Linked DNA regions of Sus scrofa. The protein of the gene in region 6 purifies or fractionates together with the protein of the main gene of each other region. This does not show direct contact. Links are inferred from orthologs where the notes say so. Each region holds a gene or a part of one and is shown on either strand. Other genes may lie near its edges.

Region 1 (3,500 bases), on a different chromosome or scaffold from region 6:
TTAAAACTGGAAACAACTTCTTCAGTTTTATTTTTGGCTGCACCTGCAGCATAAGTCGCTCTTAGACATCTTGCTCATGAGATCCTTTTCACTGAGAGGGGAAAAAAAAATACACACACACACACACACACACACACACACACACACACACACACATTCATTTACCTTCCTCCTCCCAAAAACAGAAGTCCAAGGGCCATGTGATGGGCTAAATGGAAACCATAGTTCATTTCACCACCTGTTTTCATGTGCAAGAAGCGACAAAGCTGCAAAACCTTCAAGTTCCCCGAGCCAGCCATCACCATGGCCAGAGACAGCAGCACCGCACTGAGGCAAGTCTCCAGATTGTAAGGACCTGTCTAGAGACGAGAAAGGTAACATACTACAACCCTGGTGCAACATTTTCTTTCTTTCTTTTTTTTTTTTTTTTTTTTTAATTTTTTTGGCCACCACTAGGCATAGTGAGGTCCCAGGCCAGAGATCAGATCCGAGCTGCAGCTGCAGTCTAATACCGACCGGATGGTTAACCCACCGTGCCAGGCTAGGGATCAAACCTGCGGTCCAGCACTGCAGAGATGCTTCTGATCCCATTGCGCCCCAGGGGGAAGCCCTGCATTTTCTTTTATCAAAACTCAATCGGCCATCATTAGACTACAAATGTTTACAACTTTTAAAAACCTGAAAAAACAAATATTTTCCCAGATGATGGAATTTAAGTTCAGTGTCAAAAATTCAGAAGAGAAAGCATCAAAAAGGAAATAAGAATCACTTGGAATACTAACAGCTATACACATCTGGCTTTCTTTTTTCTCCATATCTTTTCCAATATCTTTTTTCTTTTTTTAATGAAACAGATATTACTACAATATTTTTAAGCTTTCGAATCTATTATAAGCAATCTCCACTCAAAAAATTCTTACAGAACCTGATTTTGATATAGCTCCTCTATACAACAATGTAAATATACCATAGTTCATTTTTTGATTACCTTTAGGACTTTTTATGTTTCCAATTTTCTAATATTATAAATAATGTTGACTAAATCTGTGTGGGGTTGGGTTTTTTTTTTTTGGGGCCAGGAAATAAATCTGCAGTCTTACTATCATCAGAGCAGTAATCCTCAAAAGCAATTGCATTTTGACTAAGAACTAATCTTTTCAAAAAGCAATTACCAGCATTCAGTACTGAGAATGGAGTAAGGCAACACAGAAGTGATTGAATTATCAGTGAGTTTTCTTCAAGTTTAATTTTATTCCCAAGGAGAATCATCATAAAAAGACTTACTACAGAAGCATTAGGTGCAGACAAATAAGTCATAAAATCTTTTGCAAATTTATGCTGGAAAAACAAAAGAAAAAAATTTAAGGTTAAAAGAAGCATACTAAGGCTCTGTAAAAAATAAAATAGAACAGAGTAAATGAAGATATTTCTTACCAAACAGTTAAATGCCGATAAGTTTTCTGAGCCAGCGAATCGAAAACCCAGAGACAAACAAGCTCCTGCAATTATGTAGACATGCGCTTGCCTGGAAACAGACCACAAGAAATTTAAATATTGTCCCTGTTTTGCTTTAAAATTTATTATTACTATTATTTGGGGGTAAAAATAATAAATATTCCTGTTCTCTATCCTTCTGGGAACGCTCAATTGTGCCTCTGCTCAATCAACACATTTCTGTCTACTGTTCTTCAGCAGAAGCATCATCTATTTGGCTGTGAGAGTGTGCCTCTTGCCTGCACTGTTTCATATGCAGCAAAATATAATTTCTAACAATCACTGCCATTTTTTTTAAACAGGAAGGATAAAAGAGCAATTTAACACAAATTAAAATCTCCAGCATTGTTTTTTGAGGATATAAACTCTACACTTTAGAAAGCTAAAAAATCAAACTTGTGAACATCAGATAAACAATGGTTAGAAACGTGGCAGATTCAGAATCACTCAAACCAAAACAGTATTACTCCTATACAGTATATTTCAATTCATTTATCTGACAGGTGCTAGAGTAGCTAGTCTGTATTATACAATTCATGACTTACGACAAAGTTTCCAAATTCAAATCCTCTGAGCAAGGCAACTCAATTTCACTGAGAGAGATACTATTTTCTCTTATAATCTGTCAAGATAAAAACAAGAACATGTGGACATTAAATTCAAGTTACAGGTATTTAATAATTTGAAGAATACATACTGCTTATTATGGCTTTATTTACATAAAATAAGCTTTATCAAACCATTTCATTCAGAGGCCTATATTGAATGCAATCACATTTCTCATTGAATGAAATCCAATTTCAAATCTAAGATGGGCCAAATAACAGGACTAAATGAATATAAATGAATATAAACTGGCGGACTTTAGTACATTCTGAATCAATAACAGAGTAATAATATTTCACACCAGTCAACTAAAATAAAAAGATGATGACCACAGGAGTTCCCGTCGTGGTGCCACAGAAACGAATCTGACTAGCAACCATGAGGTTGTGGGTTTGATCACTGGCCTCGCTCAGAGGGTTAAGGATATGGCCATTGCCGTGAGCTGTGGTGTAGGTTGCAGATGTGGCTACTAGAAGGTAGGCTTCTAGTATTAAGCCTACCTACCTACCAAAGGTGAAGTTTGTTACTAGATTCACTACCCAAGCTAAACTAAACCATCTACGTTAATCTATAACTAGGGTTTACAAACACTTCCCTTTCAGCATAGGTAGTGAATAAGAATGTTTTTTAAAAAACACAGATTATCTAGCTTTAACAAACAAGAACTTACTTGATTCACTTCACTTAAAAAATACAAATTAAAAAAAAGGTGGAGTTCCCATCGTGACTCAGTGGTAACGAACCCGACTAGGATCCATGAGGACGCGGGTTCGCTCCCTGGCCTTGCTCAGTGTGTTACAGATATGGCGTTGCTGCGAGCGGGGGTGGAAGTCCAAGATGCAGCTTGGATCCCACGTGGCTATGGCTGTGGCATAGGCCAGCAGCTGAAGCTCTGATTTGACCCCTGGGAACTTCCATATGCTGCAGTTACAGAACCCCTCCCCCCCAAAAAAGATAAAGGTATATATTTTCTAAACGTATGCATATAAGTACACAGAAGTAAAACTTTTAATATTTATTCCTATATTTTCTTTTTTTTTTAAACAGCCACACCTGCAGCACCTGGGAGCTCCCAGGTTAGTGTTCCAACCAGAGCTACAGCTGCTAGCCCATGCCACACCCATTGCAATGTGGGATCCAAGCCATATGCGTGACCCACACGACAGCTTGCAGCAACACCAGATCCTTCGCCCACTGAGGGAGGCCAGGGATCAAACCCGCATCCTTATGGACACTATGTCAGGTTCCCGACCCACTGAGCCACAAGAGGAACTCCTATTCCTATAATTCTTTTTAGAAGACTGTTCAGAAAGCATCAGGATGCTTTCTATAATAAACCAATAAGTATTCAGAAGATGCTTATGATAAAATCTTCTTATGTACTGCAAATCATCAAATCA
Region 2 (4,214 bases), on a different chromosome or scaffold from region 6:
AACACATTACAAAGGTCCCCAAGCTGTAGACATGTATATATAAGAAACTCACAGTTAAGAAGAAAGCTTTACCCTCTAAAGAGGGAATAAAGTTGCCTCTACATGGTGGTGCCCTGTTCACATATCAGTATCTCTATACCTGGGAAAAGGTGAATCTGTGTGTTGCTTGTCCAATCCCTCTCTCGTTGCTCTTCTGGGCAAAAGAGTCCTTGGGTGCCTGTAGAGCAAGGGTCTCCATATTCTCAATACGGACACAACCCTAAGAAGAGGGAAAACTGTCACCGAAGGAAAACATTCCTGGGAGCCTCTACTGTATTGCAGCATTCCACTTTTAATCCTCCCTCCTCAGAAACTCACCTGATCCTCCTGTCGTTCTAACTCTGAAGGTAAAAAGGGCCTGACCCTCAGGTATACTTTGACTTTCTCCATGCTTCCTTCAGATGGAACCTGTGACAGAATTCCAGGCCAGAACCACAGATTAATCTCAGCAGTTACTTCTGAGCAGATGGGCAAATATAAAATAGTTTCTGGAGTTCCCGTTGTGGCTCAGTGGTTGATGAACCTGACTAGTATCCAGGAGGATGAGGGTTCAATCCCTGGCCTCGCTAAGTGGGTTAAGGATCTGGTGTTGCCATGAGCTGTGGTGTAGGTCAAAGACATAGCTCGGATCCCACATTGCTGTGGCTGTGGTGTAGGCCGGCAGCTGCAGCTCCAATTGGACCCCTAGCCTGGGAACCTCTATATGCTGCAGGTGTGGCCCTGGAAAGACAAAAGACAAAAAAATAATAGAAGTAAAATAAAATAGTTCCTGGAAATCATGTTAACACTACCATATTCCACCTCTAATGACTGTGTGCAGCTACTCAGGTTCCATAATCACTCCAACCCACATGGACTTTTTCACTACTTAATCATCTTTCTTGTCGTTTTAGAATCCTGAAAGCCTGGCTTACCACAGATTATCTGGGTTAGAACTTTCTGAATGGCATGAAAATTAGTGTGTGATATTATGGCAAAACATAGTAGTTAAGCACCTTAGAGGCAGACACACCTGAATTTCAGTCCCAATTCCATCATTAAGAAACCATGAGATCTTTTTTTTTCGGCCACCCATTGGATTCCTGGGCCAGGGATCCAATCAGAGCTGGAGTTGCAACCTATGCCACAGCTGCAGCATGGCTGGATCCTTCACCCACTGTGTCTGTGCCGGGGCGGGGACCAAACCTGAATTGCTGCCACTGCAAAGACACCATTGATCCTGTTGTGCCACAGCGGGAACTCCTGAGATCTTGAACAAGTTCTTTAAGTTTTCTTTACCTCAGTTCCCTCATCTGTAGAATGGGGTTAATAATAGCACCCACCAAGTTCATTCAACAGATATTTAGAGATCAGAGATCTCTCTACTCCGGTGCAGGAAATCTTATAGGATCCAGTAGTTCACAGTGAAGGACATTAACAAAGGCCCTGCTCTCATAAAACTTCTACAAGAGATGTCTGAGTAGAGCTGTTCTTAACCATGACATTTAGTAATGCCAGAACAAATTTCCTGGATGTCCTGGGAAGGAGCTACTGACATCTAGTGGGTAGAGACCAAGAATGCCGCTTAACATTTTACACTGCACAGAACTGCCCCCTATAACAAAGAATCATCTGGCCCCAGGCATCAAGAATGCTGCAGCTGAGACATCTCAGCAGAAAGCAAGCCCCCTTTTAAGTGCAAGCTATGGGTTCATATTAAAGCCTGAATATGTCTGGACTTCATGGTGAAGGAGATCTAACTACTGCCTTCTCTCATAGGATTAACTGAGTATGCATTTGAGAATGTTTCATTACGGCAATGCAGTTAATAGATTTCTTAGAGACACACAATTGTACATTTTTTACTTGTCTTGTCCTTAATTTTCAGTTGATCTCTCAAACCCTAAGAATGCAGGGTTTTGACCTCCTGCTACTTTGTAGGGATAACTAGTATGCTGAGGATATGACTTTCTGCCCCCAAGCCAATTCAACTCCTTTACCTGCTGCTTGTCGTCCAGGGAGGTGGAGATGACAGAGCAGTCTGACAGCAGTTCCTTGCGCACCACAGACCCCAAATCTGCAGCAGTGGACTCAAACATGGGGGAGACTACGACTTCCTCATCCGACAACAAGCCGGCTGGTGGAGAGAGGATCCCTTGCGACATGTTAGCAGGGGAAGCCTAGATCTAAAGAGAGACAAAAGTGGGTAGGGAGGAGAACCTTATGGGATAAAAAGGGCTGCAAATTCTGAGTAAGAACCAATTCCTAGGCCCCAAGACAACTTGGTCTCACTGGCTGAATTCCTGCTCCTCTTTCCCTTCAACTACTAGCAAAGAGAAAGGAAATGAGAGAGAGAGTTAATCATTTAATCCAGTCTGAGGCGGCATTTCCGACCGCGAACAGGAATGAGCAGACACCCAGCTCCAAAAGCAGAAGGCCACACTCCAAGTACGGTGTCTTGCTCTCCGGTGTCGTGGAGGTGGTGTCAGTAGCCCTGGGCTCCTTCAGTCTCTCCCCCAGGCCCACAGTGAGGACAGAGGTATTAAAAAAAAAAAAAAAAAAAAAAAGGATGGCGGCAGTTCTTCTTTCTGAAAGCCTAATTCGCGAGGGCAAGAGCAGGTACCGCAGCTGGGCTCCAGTAGAGCCTCATACTCACCGAAGACACCGCACGTCTCCTCCGGTACCGGCTCACTCACACCCCGCGACGGAACCTGAACCTTCGCAGCTAGACAGCACAACCCCGCCCACGAGGCTCACCTTTGTTACTGATACAATGTTTTAAATTACGCGCTGCGTTCGTTGAGCCAATCAGATAGCGAAACCTGAACCTACCAATCAGCGCAAGGGGACAGACGAGACTGGGAAACGGCTTATTCCGGCCTGACCGCTCTGCTCAAAAGTGGGTCCGGGTTACCAACTGTCGAGGCTTGGTGTTGGGTGATCCTGCAATTCCGCCTTATTACTTTTTCTTGAACCCTGAGGCATCAGCTGCCGTGTTTTGTTCTTTATCACATTCCTTCCCAGGAACGCACAAGAGACCCGGTTTAGGGCACTTGTTCTTCCTGGGGTGGGGTGGGGGACTACATTTCCCAGGAAGCACCGCAACCAAACACCGGGACTCTATTTCCCAGAGTTCTTTTTCTTATACTTTCTTTTTTTAAGGCGTAGCGGACGCTGACGCTCTTCCCTCAGGAGTTGGAGACTTCCGAGCCAAAATGGCGGCAGGGACGGGCAGTAAGTATTTGCACCGCCTTTGTGTGGTAAGTCTTTGTAGAGCCGAGGCCAGGCAACAGCATAGAGAGTAGGAGCAGTGATTTGCCTGAGAGCCCAGGGAGGGCACGAGACTTGAACTCGACGGTGTAGTGAAGCCCAACGGCCGGGGGCCTAGAAGTGTAGTCTTCTCAGTAAGGCCGCCGAGGTTTGAGATAAGCAGCTCAGCGAAATCTTTGTATGTTGGGGAGCTCTGCGGGGTGAGCTGAAAAGGTGCCCTACAGACGGACCGAGACGTTGTGCGCCTTAAGGAGTGGCCGGCATCCCAAAGAGTCATTCAGTTTCTGACGAACGTTTATGAGGCCACTAGTCACAGAGAAATGGGGAGTTTTAACCGCGAGCTTTTTCTGCCACTGGGGAAATCACATTTCGGGCATCTCAGTCATTTATCTCTGTTTCACGGACTGAATATGGCTTTTAGGCCCGGCCAGGGGAAAGGGGAGCGGTGTTACTGAAAGAAGTAAACAACTTTATGCTAAGAAGGAGGCGGGACGGAGGGGAGGTGGCCGCTCGGAATCCTGGGAAATAAGCCCTTAGGTCCAAATTGGAATAAAGCGTTTTTTAAAATTGAGTCTTTCGGGGAGCTGCCCTATCTTAATCTGACATTACTTTTTTTTTTTTTAAACTAAACCATTGTGCCCATGGCATTTGAAGGCAAAACATTTTATTTCTTCAAATACCATAGGCACACTGTTTTAGTTAGGTTATTTACTAGAAAGGTGAAGAATCAAGATTTGGTGATAGTAGCTCACGTTGTCCTTATAGGTTGGGATGTTTAGGCTTTTAGTCTTCTCTTTGAGGCTTAGAACTAGTGTCTCAGTGGTTTTCTATAAGTCTTCTCTACTTTCAGAACATAAGCTGCTGAGTACTGGCCCTACAGAGCCATGGTCCATCCGAGAGAAGCTGTGTTTAGCGTCTTCAGTCAT
Region 3 (3,500 bases), on a different chromosome or scaffold from region 6:
ATAACTTTATAGACACACAGACAACCCTCAAAGAAATCACTTCTGTATTAAGCAGTAAGAATACCACTATTTATTTAGTATTTACTATGTACCAGGCACAGTGCTTGCTAAGAGCTTTACATGGAATAATCATTTAATCCTTATTTAATACCTAATAAGGTAGATATAGACAAGGAAATTTGTTAGTAACTTGTCCAAGATAACAGATAGTAAAGGTAGTATTCTTCAGAGCTTAAGTTCTTAACTACTACAGTAGGTAGAAACATGGGAAAGTACTCACAATACTTTGATTTGAAAAAGCAGAATATAAAATATATACTACATATAACCCTATAAAAATATGTATATGCGTTGGCAAGGCCAGGAAGATGATCTACACAAATGAAAACAGATGTTATAGTGGTGTGGCTGGTTATGAGTGAAATAGTTCTTTAATGTTGTTAGTATACCTTAAGAAAAAATTTTCAGAAGTCATAAATTCACAAACAACTCTTCTACCATACTATTATTACTCTGTTTTCAACTGTGGATACAAAGTGTATTTGCAGAACTCCTGTTACATTGTTCCCTGCCTCCTCTACCCCTCATCAACCTTCCCCCCGGGGAGGCTAAGTGCCTACCTTAGTGCTATACTATACTGGTCCATTGCTTCCTGATACTCATTGACAGCTACAAGGAAATCTCCTAGGATCCGATGCAGGACACAGTCACTCTGATTAGCTAGTGCATTCCTCAACAAAGCAATTCCATCTTCATATTTCTGTTCTCTGCCTGAAAAGAAAAAGACCCTTATTTTCCTACTTACACAATGTTTCGAAATATATTCCCATTGCAAGTCATATATGTAAAACCACAACAGGAGTTCCCATTGTGGCTCAGTGGTTAACGAATCTGACTAGGAACCATGAGGTTGCAGGTTCAATCCCTGGCCTCCCTCAGTGTGTTAAGGATCTGGTGTTGTCGTGAGCTGTGGTGTAGGTCGCAGACGCGGCTCGGATCCCATGTTGCTATGGCTCTGGCATAGGCCAGTGGCTACAGCTCCGATTAGCCCCCTAGCCTGGGAACCTCCATATGCCGCAGGAGTGGCTCAAGAAAAGGCAAAAAGACAAAAAAAAAAAAAAAAAAAAAAAAAACCCACCACAACAATAATGAAATTCTGACATCAGATTGTGACAGATCTGAGATCCCTATTTATAGATGTCAAGAGAACAGTAGCGTGGCAGGGAGTGAGAATGAGCACATTTGAATACCTAATCCATTAGGAAATGTGCAGTTTGAGTTCTGATTTTTATTTATTTATTATTTATTTATTTAGTCAGTCTTTTTAGGGCTGTACCCACGGTATATAGAAGTTGCCACGCTAGGGGCTGAATAGAAGCTGTAGCTGCCAGCCTACACCACAGCCACAGCAAAGAGGGATCTGAGCTGCATCTGTGACCTACACACAGACTCACAACAATCCCGGATCCTTAACCCACTGATCAAGGCTGGGGAATGAAGCCAAGGCCTCATGGATATTACGTTCATTACCACTGTGCTATGACAGGAACTCCAGAGTTCTGATTTTTAAAAATTTATCCTTAACAAAGTTCAAAGAAAGAGTCAAAATGTATTTTATTAGCCAAACTAGCCCAAACTCAGTTCATCATAAATCAGGACTTAGAAAACCAAGGCTAAAAGGGAAATTATAAGGGAACCAAAATAGGTCAAAATAGTTCAAACTGGCTATGACCAGTTATATTTGGCCCAAATTAGTTGAGGACAAAGTGAGGTGAACAGGTACTAGCCAAAGTATAGCTGGTTTGAGCCACTCCACAAAAGTCAGTCCCTGCCAATTCAAGGTCTAAGCTAAATATAAACCAATGCACAGGGGCCCAGACCTACTGCAAAAGCAGTACCTGTTTGATCATCTGTAACCAGCTGGGACTAGGGAATCCCAACTGAAATCAGGTTTTACACAATTAATGAGTTACAGGGAAGTAAACAAGATACACTTACTAAGTAGTTCTGCTTTTTTCACCACAGCCTTAATGTAATCCGGTCTTTGGGTCAGGGCTTTATCTAATAAAGTTTTGGCTTTCTCCTGTGTCACTGGGTCTTCAAGACAAACGGTGGCTAAAAGGGTAAGGGTCTGTGCATTTGCTCCTAGAGTTTTGTAAACATTGTTAGCCATTACCATTGCTTCTCGAATACTGTTGGAGGCTAAGTAACATTCGATGAGACCTGAAAAAATATAACAGAAATTTCAACCACATTACCATTCCAAGACACGATTCCACCCTGACAGCCTTTCAAATTGCAAACTTTCATAGTTTCAAACAAAAAGCAGGCCAGGAGAAATCTCTAATGGTGAGATTAGACCAGAGGGTATGCTGATAGAAGAGCTAAGAAGTGCTCTTTCCCAGAGGACTTGATGGATGTGGAAAAAGCCTGCCGTGTAAAGGCACCTTCAGTTAGCGAAGGAAACAAACATGCATAAAATAAACCAAAGCATGTTGGCAGCACAGCTGAAAGAGTAATAAATGTGACACTACTCATTAATTGAAACTGTGTAAGATGAGGTTTCTAGCAAAACCCAAGGTTTTGCTGCCTCCTAACAAGCTGTTAATTTCCAGGTGAGCTCAGTCACTTTTAGCCCTACATTTAAGGGGGAGGGCTCCTTAAGTACCCAGGGAGCAACCTACAGAGAAAGGAAGACTTTTTGTGTTTCACTGGAAACATAAAAGTTATCTCAAAAGGCATTTGCTGAGAGCTTCCTTAAACTAGATGGAAAGGGCTTAATTAGACGGACCAAAATACACCAAGATCGGCAGCTCCTGCCTCTTTCCATAACCAAAGCAAGATGCTCCAAGGGGACACTTCAAGTAGAGGTCAACTCTCAACTCTTCATGCCAAGAAATGAAGAACAGAGGAAATACTTTCTGGGACAAAGTACTCACAGAAAAACAGCTTAAACTCCAAACTCACACAGTGGCAGATTTTTTTTTTCCTGGTCTGTTTTTTTAGGGCCACACCTGCAGCATACGGAGGTTCCTAGGCTAGGGGTCTAATGGGAGCTACAGCTGTGGCCTACGCCACAGCAACGCAGGATCCAAGCCGTGTCTGCGACCTACATCAGAGCTCACAGCAACGCTGGATCCTTAACCCACTGAGCGAGGCCAGAGATCGAACCCACAACCTCATCGGATTAGTTTCCACTGCACCACGATGGGAACTCCTCCCCGGCAGATTTTCTCTGCATATTCCTCCACCCTAGCGGCATTTATAATGTTTGTGCACACTCTATCATACACTACAGTTACTTAACAAGAAATTACCTCTTAAGGGCAACATGTTGGATTCGGAATATGGCTGTTTGCAACTTCTCACTGAATAGCTTTCCTTTCCTGCTAAAGCCACACTGGAAGTTCAAAGGGAAATGTTAAAACCATACTTCGCTAATCCAGAGCTCCCACCAGTAAAGGAAGCTCTGCTGGAGGCTGCAAGAAGCACCAGAGGAC
Region 4 (2,711 bases), about 85 Mb from region 6:
CCAATTCTCACCACTCCCTTCCCCACTGCTTGGCAGCATCTGACCTGGGTAACTGCCCCCTGACTGGGCTTCCATTAAACCAGTCACAGGGTCTCCCCGGCCACGTGGGCCACTCTGTCCAGCAGGGAGGAAACGGCAGCCAGCACAATGGCCCCAGACGTGACATCTCAAGAGAGCAGACCGAACTTTTTTGTTTTAATTTTAAATCTTTCACATGTCTTCCTGCAACAATTGGGCAGGACAAAAGTGTTGGAAAGGAAAAAGGGCGAGATGTTATGTTAGAAAGTTTTGCAGCATCACTTAAAATGTTGACAATCACACGTGGTGTAGTTTATAGCAACCAGCCACCCATCTAGCTGGGCTCCTAAATAGCCGGTGTTACCATCTGAAGAGTGGGAAAATATATTTTAAAATAATAACGTTCCCTCTGCAACAGGAATCAGGAATTCAGTCTGGTTGGGGATAGGAGAAACTGGAAGCTGGAGGCAGGAGGCAGGAGCTACAAATGTATCTCCTAATTTTATTACTTAAAACATCCATCAGGCTGGTACACACGGTGTCATTTAGTCACACATGGGACAGTTTTACTGTCAGTACAGCAGTAACCACACAGCACACTACATGTCTAGGGGCACTTTGAGTTCCGTCTGACTGCACACACCTGGAGAAAGGGGACATTTATGACTGGAAATGGACTATGTACCAAAACACGAGGCCCACACAGACCCAACTCAGCATCGCCCACTGAACATGACCTTCCTAGGGCTGAAAGGTGGCCTACACCCTCAGTGCACAAAGAGTTGGGGCACCATTAGGCCCACCATCAATCATCGAAGCAGATTTATGGACGTGTGGGCACCTTGCAGGTGAAATTCACCACCAGTTAGGTTTTTGTTTGTTTCTGCATTGGAGGCGTGTGTAAGTTCCCGGGCTAGGGATCGAGTGCCACATCAGTGACCAGAACTGCTGCAGTGACAAGGCCTTAACCCACTGTGCCACAAGAGAACTCCTACTAGGGTTATTTTTAAAGAAAAAAATCTATCAATTTTCAATGCATCTAAGGGAGCAGACTTACAACTAAAAAATAATGAATACCTAATTACTAAAAATAGCTTCTGCGGAAAATAATGGTTCTCAACCTTGGTGGGCACAAGATCAGGTGAGTTTATTAAAAATAATAATAATACTCCAGGCCTGGGAGTTGCTATTGTGGCTCAGCAGAAACGAATCTGACAAGCATCCATGAGGACTCAGGTTCGATCCCTAGCCTCGCTCAGTGGCTTAAGGATCTGGCATTGCCATGAGCTGTGATGTAGGTTGTGGATGCGGCTCGGATCCTGTGTTGCTGTGGCTGTAGTGTAGGCCAGCGGCTATAGCTCCGATTCGACTCCTAGCCTGGGAACCTCCATATCCCATAGGTGCCACTCTAAAAAAAAAAAAGAAAAAAAAGCAGGCCTGGGCCCAGTCATCACATTCTAAATGGGCCTGTGGTAACACCCATGTATTTGCATTTTTAATCTCTGGCCCAGGTGATTTTGATGTGGTGGTGTATGTGCTTCATGGGAAATCCTGCCCAAGTTCACTCAAAACGTGAAACACACTGATTGCCCACCACATACACGATTCATTCTTAGCACTAACCCTTCAACGACTGAGAATTTCTGATCCAAGTATTCCTACGAGTTCAAATGTGATTTTCTGCTCTAATATTATCGAAATATTAATGTGCTTCTGTCACAGGTCCTGTGACAGACACTAGTTCTGCACACAACATTAAGAAGAAGTCTCAGCAAAAAGAAAGTCTTATCATGGTGGTACATCACTAAGAGAAGATGAAGCAGAATAAAAGTAAAATAAAAATTTACTGTTTTTATTTCACACAAAAAAGTTAAGTAGTGGTCATCTTGGTCCATCGTCTATGTCCTTTCTGAACATCAGGAGTCTAGCTCAGGGTCAAGTTTTTCTACTTTAATGACCGTCTCTGAAGCTAAAGCAGCAGCACTGGCCTGCTGGTTCTCTGCTTCCGACTCAGATAACACTTCTTCCTTTATTTTTATGGGCTTGTTACTGGCCTCCTCCTCTTCGTCTGAAGACTCATCCAGCTCCCATTCATCATCTATGTCCATTTCAAACACTCTCACATGACGGAGATTTGAGCTTAACTAAAGAAAAGGCCAAATTAAGAAAGAAAATTTAATGGCTTAACTAATACATTATATATAATCAGAAATCTGAATAAAGAGCGGTTTTGTGGGAAAGTTATTTTCCCATCAATTTACAACAAAATCACTAACCCAGCTTTCATTTCATATAAAAGGATCTCCACATACAGTGAAAATTTCATGATAATTAAAATCTCAATGTGTTAGTTACTTAGTGAGCTTTCTCAGAACAAGAGAACTGAACAGCTAAGGCCACTATGGGCTCATAATCAAAAGCTTTACATCGCAAAATGTTTGCACTGAGAAGCCTCCACAGTCCCAAGTCCCTTCCTTTGTTAAACACTCACCACACAGGACACTTTTCGAAAACCATTCCCAGCAACGTACTGGGCTTTCATACTTTCCAGTAACCTCCAGTGCTTCTCGAAATGCATGGTCCGGGTGGGAATAGCACTCCGCTGCTCATCCAGCCTAGACAGGGAAGAAACCAGCCCCAGAGTGAAATGGGGCTCTTCCCCCTGGTTTACCAGAGGGGGTATCAGGGTTTGA
Region 5 (3,500 bases), on a different chromosome or scaffold from region 6:
CAAGAACTAGTCCAGGCTGGATAGGGGCAGCAAAAAGGGACATGTAAGCAAAAACTGTATACCCTTAGATCCATTTAATTCATGGTCTTTGCTAAGATCACCAGTTCAAGGGGATAGCAGAGATTAGAATGAAATCTATAAATTCTTCAGAAATAAGCCAACACAACTGGTTGTTTCTTACCCTGAGCAAGGTAAACAAAAGATAAAGGCTTATTCACTTCAATCCTGATTGGCCCTTCTTAGTTCTAAGTCAACAATGGGGAATTCTTGACATTTAGTATTACCTGAGCAAGTCGGTGGGAGTAAAACGTGTGGATTTTGCCAGATGGGAACTGACATTTGGAGCAGGGACCAGGATCAGCCTTAGTCTAGAAGCTCTGTGCAAGAGCCTGTCATCTAAACAGATGAACTGGGGGTGTGGACACAATTGCTCTCACTTTGACACAACTAAGATAGTCATTACTTTATCTACCAAAGGCCCTATGGAAGGTGGCTTATCACTCAACAACCGAGTCCCAGTGTACCCGTCCGTCCCCTCCTATGCTGGCTACTCGGGACAGAAACAAACATTTTCTGCCTTTCTAGCCTCCCACCACCTAGACTGCAAGGGAAATCAAGGACAGAGTAACCAGCCTTGGGTGCAGGGATTTGCTCTGACCACAGAGCAGAGCAAGACCACCCACAAAGACAACTACTGCTTTGACCTGGGTGTGCTGTAGTCTGGGGCAGACTGACTTTCATCCAACCTTGCTCAGAATTTACCTCAGTTCTGAGATGCCTCAGGTTTACATCCTGTTACATCCTGGCTGGCTCTGCCGGTCACCTTACCCCACCCTGGAACCCAGTCATCTTACCCCATCTGGCTCTTGATCGGATCATCGTGCTGAACTTCAACATTTTCTCTTCCCATTACATCTCCTGTCCCTGGCACTCAGCAATTGGTCCCCGATGCAGAAACAGAGAACTCTGGCCAGAAGCTCACAGAGGCCTGCCCACCCCCAAAGGGCCCTCTGTCCTTCCCTGCTGTGTGGTACCTGCAGGTGCTGCTGCTCTTCCTGGAAAGTCTTCTCCAGCTGCTCCACTCTGGCCTGCTGCTGGGCCTGCTCTGCACACAGCTGGGACTGTAAATCGTGCAGTTCCTGCTCCATTTTCACAATTTTCTTTGAGTTTCCCTTTTGGGTTTGTTTTTTCACATTCAGAACAGCGATCTGTTTTTCCTGCATCTGTGTTTTCAGCTTTAGAATCCTGGACATGGTGACCTTAAACAGCTCTAAGCTGCTCTGAGATGCTGAAGGGTTTGAGGCTTTCTGCTTCCTGTGCTGAAGCTCTACGACTTTTGCAGGGACTGGATAAACATGAGCCCCCAGGGCCTTCCCACTTGGCTGAAGACAAGTCAACTTAGGATCCAAATATTCATTGAGCTGACCAGCCACTTTACCTTTCTCATGTGACTTCACTGGTTGACCAGGTTCACAAGACACTTTACTTATTTTGGATTTCAAAGTTGAGGGGCCTTCAGCTCCAGAACCCTCTAACTCATCCAAATTAAACTTCCTTTTAGTTCTCAAGCCCTTATTCTTTTCCATCATTTGGTCACTCTTTAGGGACAGACAAGGATAAACCCTCTCCCAGTCGTCTTCGGTAACTTCATATTCATACTCCGCATTCTCCTTATTTTCCAGAGGCACCCCAAGCTGGATGTGGTCTCCCTCATGGATAGAATAGACCTTTAAAGGTTCTAGACGTTCTCTGTTCAGCCAAACACCATTCAGACTCTGGGGAAAGGGAAAAAAAGATAACATAAGCTTCATGATTTTCCTCCTCTAATAGAATTTCTCTCTTGCTGCTGCAAAACCTTCTGTCTTTTCAAGGAAACCCCTTAAGAACAAATAGAAACAAAGGTTCATAAACCGCCATCCTTACAAACAGCATTTTTTAAATAGCGCTCTGGCTTTTTACCTCTGTGATGTTCACACCTCCAGACAACTGCCTGTCTAATAGGCAGGGATCTCCTTGTTACTGGTGGATAAATTATTCAAACAAATGCAGCCGGATTAAAAGAAAGCAAAACTGAATAGCTCCTATTGGCCTAAACTAGAGGCAATGGCCCAAGACTGGAAAAGCTGCTATTAGTGATGGAAGCAGTGTCTAACAATGAGGTTCCAAAGGTACACTTGGCCAAGAAAGTCATGCAAGTACTCTCTCTGGATGCGGCCCCTGAATACATTGGTGAATGAGAAAACCCTTCCCAGGATATACACACCAAAAAAGAAAGCACCAGTACCTTGTGCTGGGGTCAAATTGCACAGGGGATATGATCCAATTAATAGATCTATGGGCATAGTGGTTAAGACCTGGACTCAGACAAATTTGGGTTTCCAGCCCAAATGCACCACCTTGGGCTTAGTCGCATGGGCCTGGACAATTTCCTTAATCTCTCTGTACCTCAGTTTTGTCCGTAAAATGGGGATAGTATACAGTTTCTGCCTCATACTTCTCCTGTGAGGAATGACAGAGCTAATACATATAAAACACTTAGCAGAGTGACTCACATGTAATGAATACTCCATATGGACTTCTGTGGTTTAAATTAAAAAGCAGTGTAGGAGTTAAGAGCATGGACCCCAGGACAGGACTGTCTGGGTGTGTAATCTGCTCCATCACTTAACTGCTGCATGATTTGGGCAAGTTTCTTAACCTCTCTAGGCGCCAGTTTCCACATCTATAAAATGGAAGATATAATAGTCTCTTCTTCATGGTGTTTGTGTGGATTTAATGAGATAACATATGCAATGTACTTAGAAAAGTACCCGGCACATGGTAAGCATTATCTAAGTGTTTGCTTCTCTTACTGTGTTCTGGTTCAACTGATTTATCAACAATCACTTCAATTCCATGCTCAGCATCTTGCAAGGTAAATATACTGAGCACAAAAGCAAAAGATATGAAAACAACTTTGAGCAGCTGACTGTGGAAGGGAAAACACAAGGGCTTATTTAAGCAAATGTGGGATTACACAGCACAGCCCATAAATGCAAAGGAATATCATGTAGAGCAGGGTGAGCGAAGAGATGCTCAATGGGGACACAGGTCCTAAAACAGACTTGAAAGAAAGGCAGGATTTAAAGTCTAAAGAGACAAGTGGGTGTTTTAACCCATATCAAGGACTTAATGTGGGGGGACAGGCCAGAGGTGAGGTCACATCTGACTGGGACGAAGGGCTAATATGTTTATGTCAGTAACAAGAGCCATCTACTCTAACCTAGACAAAACAGTTAACAGTTAACCCAAATATGAAGGACAGGGAGCTGGACTACAAGGCACAGAGGTACAGGGGAGTAAGAGATGCCATCTCAGCTCTGGTTTGGTATTAGGCCCTTGTTTCTGGTTCTATGCTATTTGGCTCAAGTGAGGAGAGGGAGAGAAAGACAAGCATAGAAATACACAGAAAGACTGGCTTTAACTCCCTGCTTTGGACCTAACCTGGCTTACCTGCCAAC
Region 6 (4,140 bases):
CTGTTTCAGTCTTTAAACTGATCAAGTTTTGATATATAACACTGAATAGGCAGAGTTCTAAGGGCGTCCTCAAAATTTGTGGCCTCCAGGGAGCCTATCCTATAGAATCCCTCCACTTTAGTGTGGCCAGAGTAGTGATTATTAGGAGTTATCACTTTGAGGATTAAGTTCATCAAAGAGGAAATTATCTGACTGGGTCTGACCTAATCACTTGAGCCTTTAAAAGGGACCTCCCAGAAGTCAGAGACTGGAAGCCTGAGATTTATGGAAGGGCTACCTGGCAAAAGCACAAGACTGGCCTCTGCCAACAGCTGGCAAGCCAGTGAGGACATCAGTCCAAGAACAAGGATATTAAGTCTACCAAGAACCAAGGGCCTCAGAAGAGGACCCCTGATTTTAGGTAAGATCCCACTTGCAGACAAATACCCTTATTTCAAACTTGTGAAGACTACAGTAGAGAACTCACCTATGCCACGCCATGCTCCTGACTGAAGGACTGATAATAAATGGGTGTTGTTTTAAGCCACTCATTTGTGGTAATTTATTATGCAGCAATAGAAAACTAATACACTCAGGCATTTTTTCATACAATTAAATAACATTATGTAAGGTGGTTAAGTTTTTCAGATTTCATTTTACATTTTTTCTACCCACTTTAAGAATAAACTTGTTTCAAAACAACTGACATGCACATTAGTTGCGCGCTATCTCTTTAGTACTTCTCATCCTAACAATAAAATTCAAAATTCACGGAAAAGTTCTTCAGTGTTGAAAGGCCTTTTTGGTGAAGTGACCTTACTCCTGACCAGTCGCCGAAGGATGGCGGGGTGCAGAGTGCAAGCTGGACCATCAGAGACAGCCTCAGGCTGCCCCCAGACTGAGCCTAGCAGAGGGTCGGGGTGAGGAGTAGACGTGAGCTTTGCCCAGAACAGACAAGGGAAAGAAGAATGGACGCAGTTCATCCCTTTAATCCCTAAACCAATTTCTCAGGAAAAGCCGCGCGCCCACAAGTAATCAGGGTCTCTAATAAAACTGTGGTGCGCACGCAGTAGCTTTAGAAACTCCCAAAGCATCTGAGGAGTTCCGCCCGCCCACTAAGAATCACTGGGGCTACTTAAGGTACAGCTAGCAGACAGATCGGAGCATTTTCAAAATATCTTTCAAACTCAGGAGTTGTGCTCCTTACCCCTTCTGCCTGAAGACTCAAGGCGCGGCCACTAAAACCGCGATATACCGTCTTTGCCGCAAGCCCCCAGCTAGCCAACCAACTACCGCAGGAGTTCCACAAGGAACCCACCGCGACGCAACGACTCAACAGCGTGAGCACGTCCACCCACTGCGCAGGCGCGAAGAGCGGCTACGCGAGGAAGGAGAAAACAAGCCAGACCCCGTGGTGTAAGGGCGGGGCCTAAAGGCTCGTTGCGCCTGCGCGAAAGAGTCGACGGCGTCCTGCGTCGTTACTTTTGAAACCGGTGGCGGGGAACTACTCTGGAAGTCACTGGTGTGGCTGGTTGCCGCGTGAAAGCGCGTCTCTTCATCCGTGGGCCTGGCCATGGCGCTGCAGCTCTCCCGGGAGCAAGGCATTACCCTGCGCGGGAGCGCCGAAATCGTGGCGGAGTTCTTCTGTAAGTCCTTCTCGCGCAGGCCGGAGAGCGGGGAGAACTGTGCCCAGGCCGCCAAGTAGGCCCGCGGCTCGGTACGGTGGCGGGGAGAACCCATTGGGTCAGAGCGGACGCGAATCCGAGCCCTCTCAGTCTCAGCGTACTGCCAGGCAGGAGGGATCTGGAAGAGGCGGATGCAGGCGCCTCTTCCGGATGCGTTGCTAATGGTGGAGGAGGCGGCCTAGGTTCTGCTGAGGCCTGCCTGGCGATATAACCGCTTAGCCGGGAGCAAACCCCATACCCACCCCGAGGTGAATCAGGATTGACGGTAATGGGCTAGACTTGGGGAGGCGTTCTTCTGGACCAGGCCAGTTGCACCTTCTGATAGAACCTGGCAGGACTTGTGAGAAGAAAAGGAGGAAAAAAAGGAGAGGATTGCCTGGGCGTTGGACGACTCAGTTGCTTCTTTTGACATCCTCTAACCATAAAGTCTGAATTTAGAATTGTTTTACAATGAAATGAAATTTGGCACTGGTAGATAAATGCAGTTTGCCATGTTTCTTTTATTGCCACTTAAATGCAGATACCACTTTTTTGTTTAGAAGCAAAATTTTAAAGCTTTTTAATTTCACTTTGTACCTTTGAGCAAAACACAAACGCGTGTTTAAACATTTACAGCTTTACACCATTAATGAAACCATAGCCACATGACTAAATATGTTTTATTTCTCAGAATTACAAAATGAAAATGACTTTTAACATTTCTTTTGTTTTCAGCGTTTGGCATCAACAGCATTTTATATCAGCGTGGCATATATCCATCTGAAACCTTTACTCGAGTACAGAAATACGGACTTACCTTGCTTGTAACTACTGATCCTGAGCTCATAAAATACCTAAATAATGTGGTGGAACAACTAAAAGGTATTTCATTGTTGGAAACAGTTTTGAGTTTTGCCAGCATTCTAGGATCCATTTTCTAGCAGCTTGCTGGTCATTTTTCATCTGTATACCTGGTGGTGTAAAACACACTACCATCTCAAATATAGTGAAATAACTGGGAGGAAGAAAATAAATCAAAAAGAAGTCCCATCTTTACCCCATTTTGAGTGGGCTGAATATTTTCATGTTAGGAACGCGATACGGCTTAATGAAACAATTCCCATCAACTCCTTTAGAAATGAGTGTTGCAGTTTATGTGACCAAATGGAACATGTTGGAATTTTACATAATTATATTGGTGTTCATTATCTGAGAAAAATCCACTATATATATATTTGTAGCTGCATGGAGTCTAAAGCCATCATTAAGATGAAGGAAGCAAAACTGAATTCAACCTGGGGACTAAACTTTAAAAAGAACAACTACCAAATAACAGAGCACCATTAGAATTTTCTTACTTTTCACCTGTTTCCATTGTCTTGTCTTAAATCCTACATGTGAGTCTGAATACTTATTTTTTCCTTTTAGCTCAAGAAGTGTCAGTATTGTTTAATTAATACTTGTTCTCCATCTATTCCTCTTCTTTCTTCTAAAATTTCTAGTTTCTCTTTCATGTTTGTCTCCACCTAGGGTTCTCATTTCTAATTTTTCTGTGTTGTAGGATATTTTTCCATATCCACACATTGATCTTCCAAAGTTCTAAAAAACACTACAGCCCTCATCTTTATTTATTTTTTTTTTAAGTTTTTACTGAGGTATAGTTGATTTACAATGTTGTAATAATTTCTGCTGTACAACACAGTGATTCAGTTATACATGTATACACATGCATTCTTCTTCAGATTTCTTTCCCATGTAGCCCATCACAGACTGTTTGGTGGAGTTCCCTGTACTATACAGCAGGTCCCTATTGGGCAAGCATTCCATATACCTCAGTGTGCATATGCCAATCCCAAATCAATCCCCCACCCCATCCCTCTTCCCCCACTTCTCCCCTTTGGTTACCATAAGTTTTTCAAAGTCTCTGTTCTGCAAATAACTTCATTTGTATTTTTTTTTTTTTTTTAAGATTCCACATTAAGTGCTATCATGTTTGTCTTTCACTAACTTCACTTAGTATGATAATCTCTAGGTCCATCCATGTTGCTGCAAATGGCATTATTTCATTCTTTTTTATGGCTGAGTAATATTCCATTGTATATATGTACCACATCTTCTTTATCCATTCCTCTGTCAGTGGACATTTATGTTGCTTCCATGTTTTTAATTTTAAATGAATCTTTTTTGTTTCAAGCAGCTTGATTTTTTTAACTCAATGAATTTTATTACATTTATAGTTGTACAACAATCATCACAACCCAATTTTACAGCATTTCCATCCCAAACCCCCAGCCCATCCCCCAACCCCCAACGTGTCTTCTTGGAAACCGTAAGTTTTTGAAAGTCTGAGTCAGTATCTCTTCCGCAAAGAAGTTCACTGTATCCTTTTTTTAGATTCCCCATATAAGTGATAGCATATGACATTGGTGTCTCACTGTCTTACAAACTTCACCTAGTATGATAGTTTCTAGGTCCATCCATGTTGCTGCAAATGCCA

Evidence for each region.
Region 1: the proteins of MAD2L1 (region 6) and ANAPC1 purify together in Homo sapiens (affinity purification with mass spectrometry; 3 studies listed by BioGRID and IntAct, with this or other methods). This does not show direct contact. The link is inferred for Sus scrofa from reciprocal best matches to the Homo sapiens genes MAD2L1 and ANAPC1.
Region 2: the proteins of MAD2L1 (region 6) and KIF20A purify together in Homo sapiens (affinity purification with mass spectrometry; 4 studies listed by BioGRID and IntAct, with this or other methods). This does not show direct contact. The link is inferred for Sus scrofa from reciprocal best matches to the Homo sapiens genes MAD2L1 and KIF20A.
Region 3: the proteins of MAD2L1 (region 6) and ANAPC7 purify together in Homo sapiens (affinity purification with mass spectrometry; 3 studies listed by BioGRID and IntAct, with this or other methods). This does not show direct contact. The link is inferred for Sus scrofa from reciprocal best matches to the Homo sapiens genes MAD2L1 and ANAPC7.
Region 4: the proteins of MAD2L1 (region 6) and ANAPC4 purify together in Homo sapiens (affinity purification with western blotting; 14 studies listed by BioGRID and IntAct, with this or other methods). This does not show direct contact. The link is inferred for Sus scrofa from reciprocal best matches to the Homo sapiens genes MAD2L1 and ANAPC4.
Region 5: the proteins of MAD2L1 (region 6) and RNF8 purify together in Homo sapiens (co-immunoprecipitation; 3 studies listed by BioGRID and IntAct, with this or other methods). This does not show direct contact. The link is inferred for Sus scrofa from reciprocal best matches to the Homo sapiens genes MAD2L1 and RNF8.

Annotation. Positions count from the first base shown.
Region 1 is NC_010445.4:44,574,461-44,577,960, reverse strand, and holds part of ANAPC1 (anaphase-promoting complex subunit 1), read right to left. Parts: intron 2,117-3,500; coding exon 2,040-2,116; intron 1,526-2,039; coding exon 1,435-1,525; intron 1,339-1,434; coding exon 1,285-1,338; intron 360-1,284; coding exon 166-359; intron 1-165. UniProt on the Homo sapiens protein: Component of the anaphase promoting complex/cyclosome (APC/C), a cell cycle-regulated E3 ubiquitin ligase that controls progression through mitosis and the G1 phase of the cell cycle.
Region 2 is NC_010444.4:140,200,902-140,205,115, reverse strand, and holds the start of KIF20A (kinesin-like protein KIF20A), read right to left. Parts: upstream 2,801-4,214; 5' UTR 2,675-2,800; intron 2,205-2,674; 5' UTR 2,184-2,204; coding exon 2,019-2,183; intron 448-2,018; coding exon 358-447; intron 260-357; coding exon 140-259; intron 1-139. UniProt on the Homo sapiens protein: Mitotic kinesin required for chromosome passenger complex (CPC)-mediated cytokinesis. Following phosphorylation by PLK1, involved in recruitment of PLK1 to the central spindle. Interacts with guanosine triphosphate (GTP)-bound forms of RAB6A and RAB6B.
Region 3 is NC_010456.5:31,765,751-31,769,250, forward strand, and holds part of ANAPC7 (anaphase-promoting complex subunit 7), read right to left. Parts: intron 2,224-3,500; coding exon 1,999-2,223; intron 772-1,998; coding exon 621-771; intron 1-620. UniProt on the Homo sapiens protein: Component of the anaphase promoting complex/cyclosome (APC/C), a cell cycle-regulated E3 ubiquitin ligase that controls progression through mitosis and the G1 phase of the cell cycle.
Region 4 is NC_010450.4:19,339,253-19,341,963, reverse strand, and holds the end of ANAPC4 (anaphase-promoting complex subunit 4), read right to left. Parts: intron 2,634-2,711; coding exon 2,510-2,633; intron 2,163-2,509; coding exon 1,935-2,162; 3' UTR 501-1,934; downstream 1-500. UniProt on the Homo sapiens protein: Component of the anaphase promoting complex/cyclosome (APC/C), a cell cycle-regulated E3 ubiquitin ligase that controls progression through mitosis and the G1 phase of the cell cycle.
Region 5 is NC_010449.5:32,948,812-32,952,311, reverse strand, and holds part of RNF8 (E3 ubiquitin-protein ligase RNF8), read right to left. Parts: coding exon of another isoform or gene 3,493-3,500; intron 1,776-3,492; coding exon 1,035-1,775; intron 1-1,034. UniProt on the Homo sapiens protein: E3 ubiquitin-protein ligase that plays a key role in DNA damage signaling via 2 distinct roles: by mediating the 'Lys-63'-linked ubiquitination of histones H2A and H2AX and promoting the recruitment of DNA repair proteins at double-strand breaks (DSBs) sites, and by catalyzing 'Lys-48'-linked ubiquitination to remove target proteins from DNA damage sites.
Region 6 is NC_010450.4:103,926,018-103,930,157, forward strand, and holds the start of MAD2L1 (mitotic spindle assembly checkpoint protein MAD2A), read left to right. Parts: upstream 1-1,340; 5' UTR 1,341-1,552; coding exon 1,553-1,625; intron 1,626-2,378; coding exon 2,379-2,525; intron 2,526-4,140. UniProt on the Homo sapiens protein: Component of the spindle-assembly checkpoint that prevents the onset of anaphase until all chromosomes are properly aligned at the metaphase plate.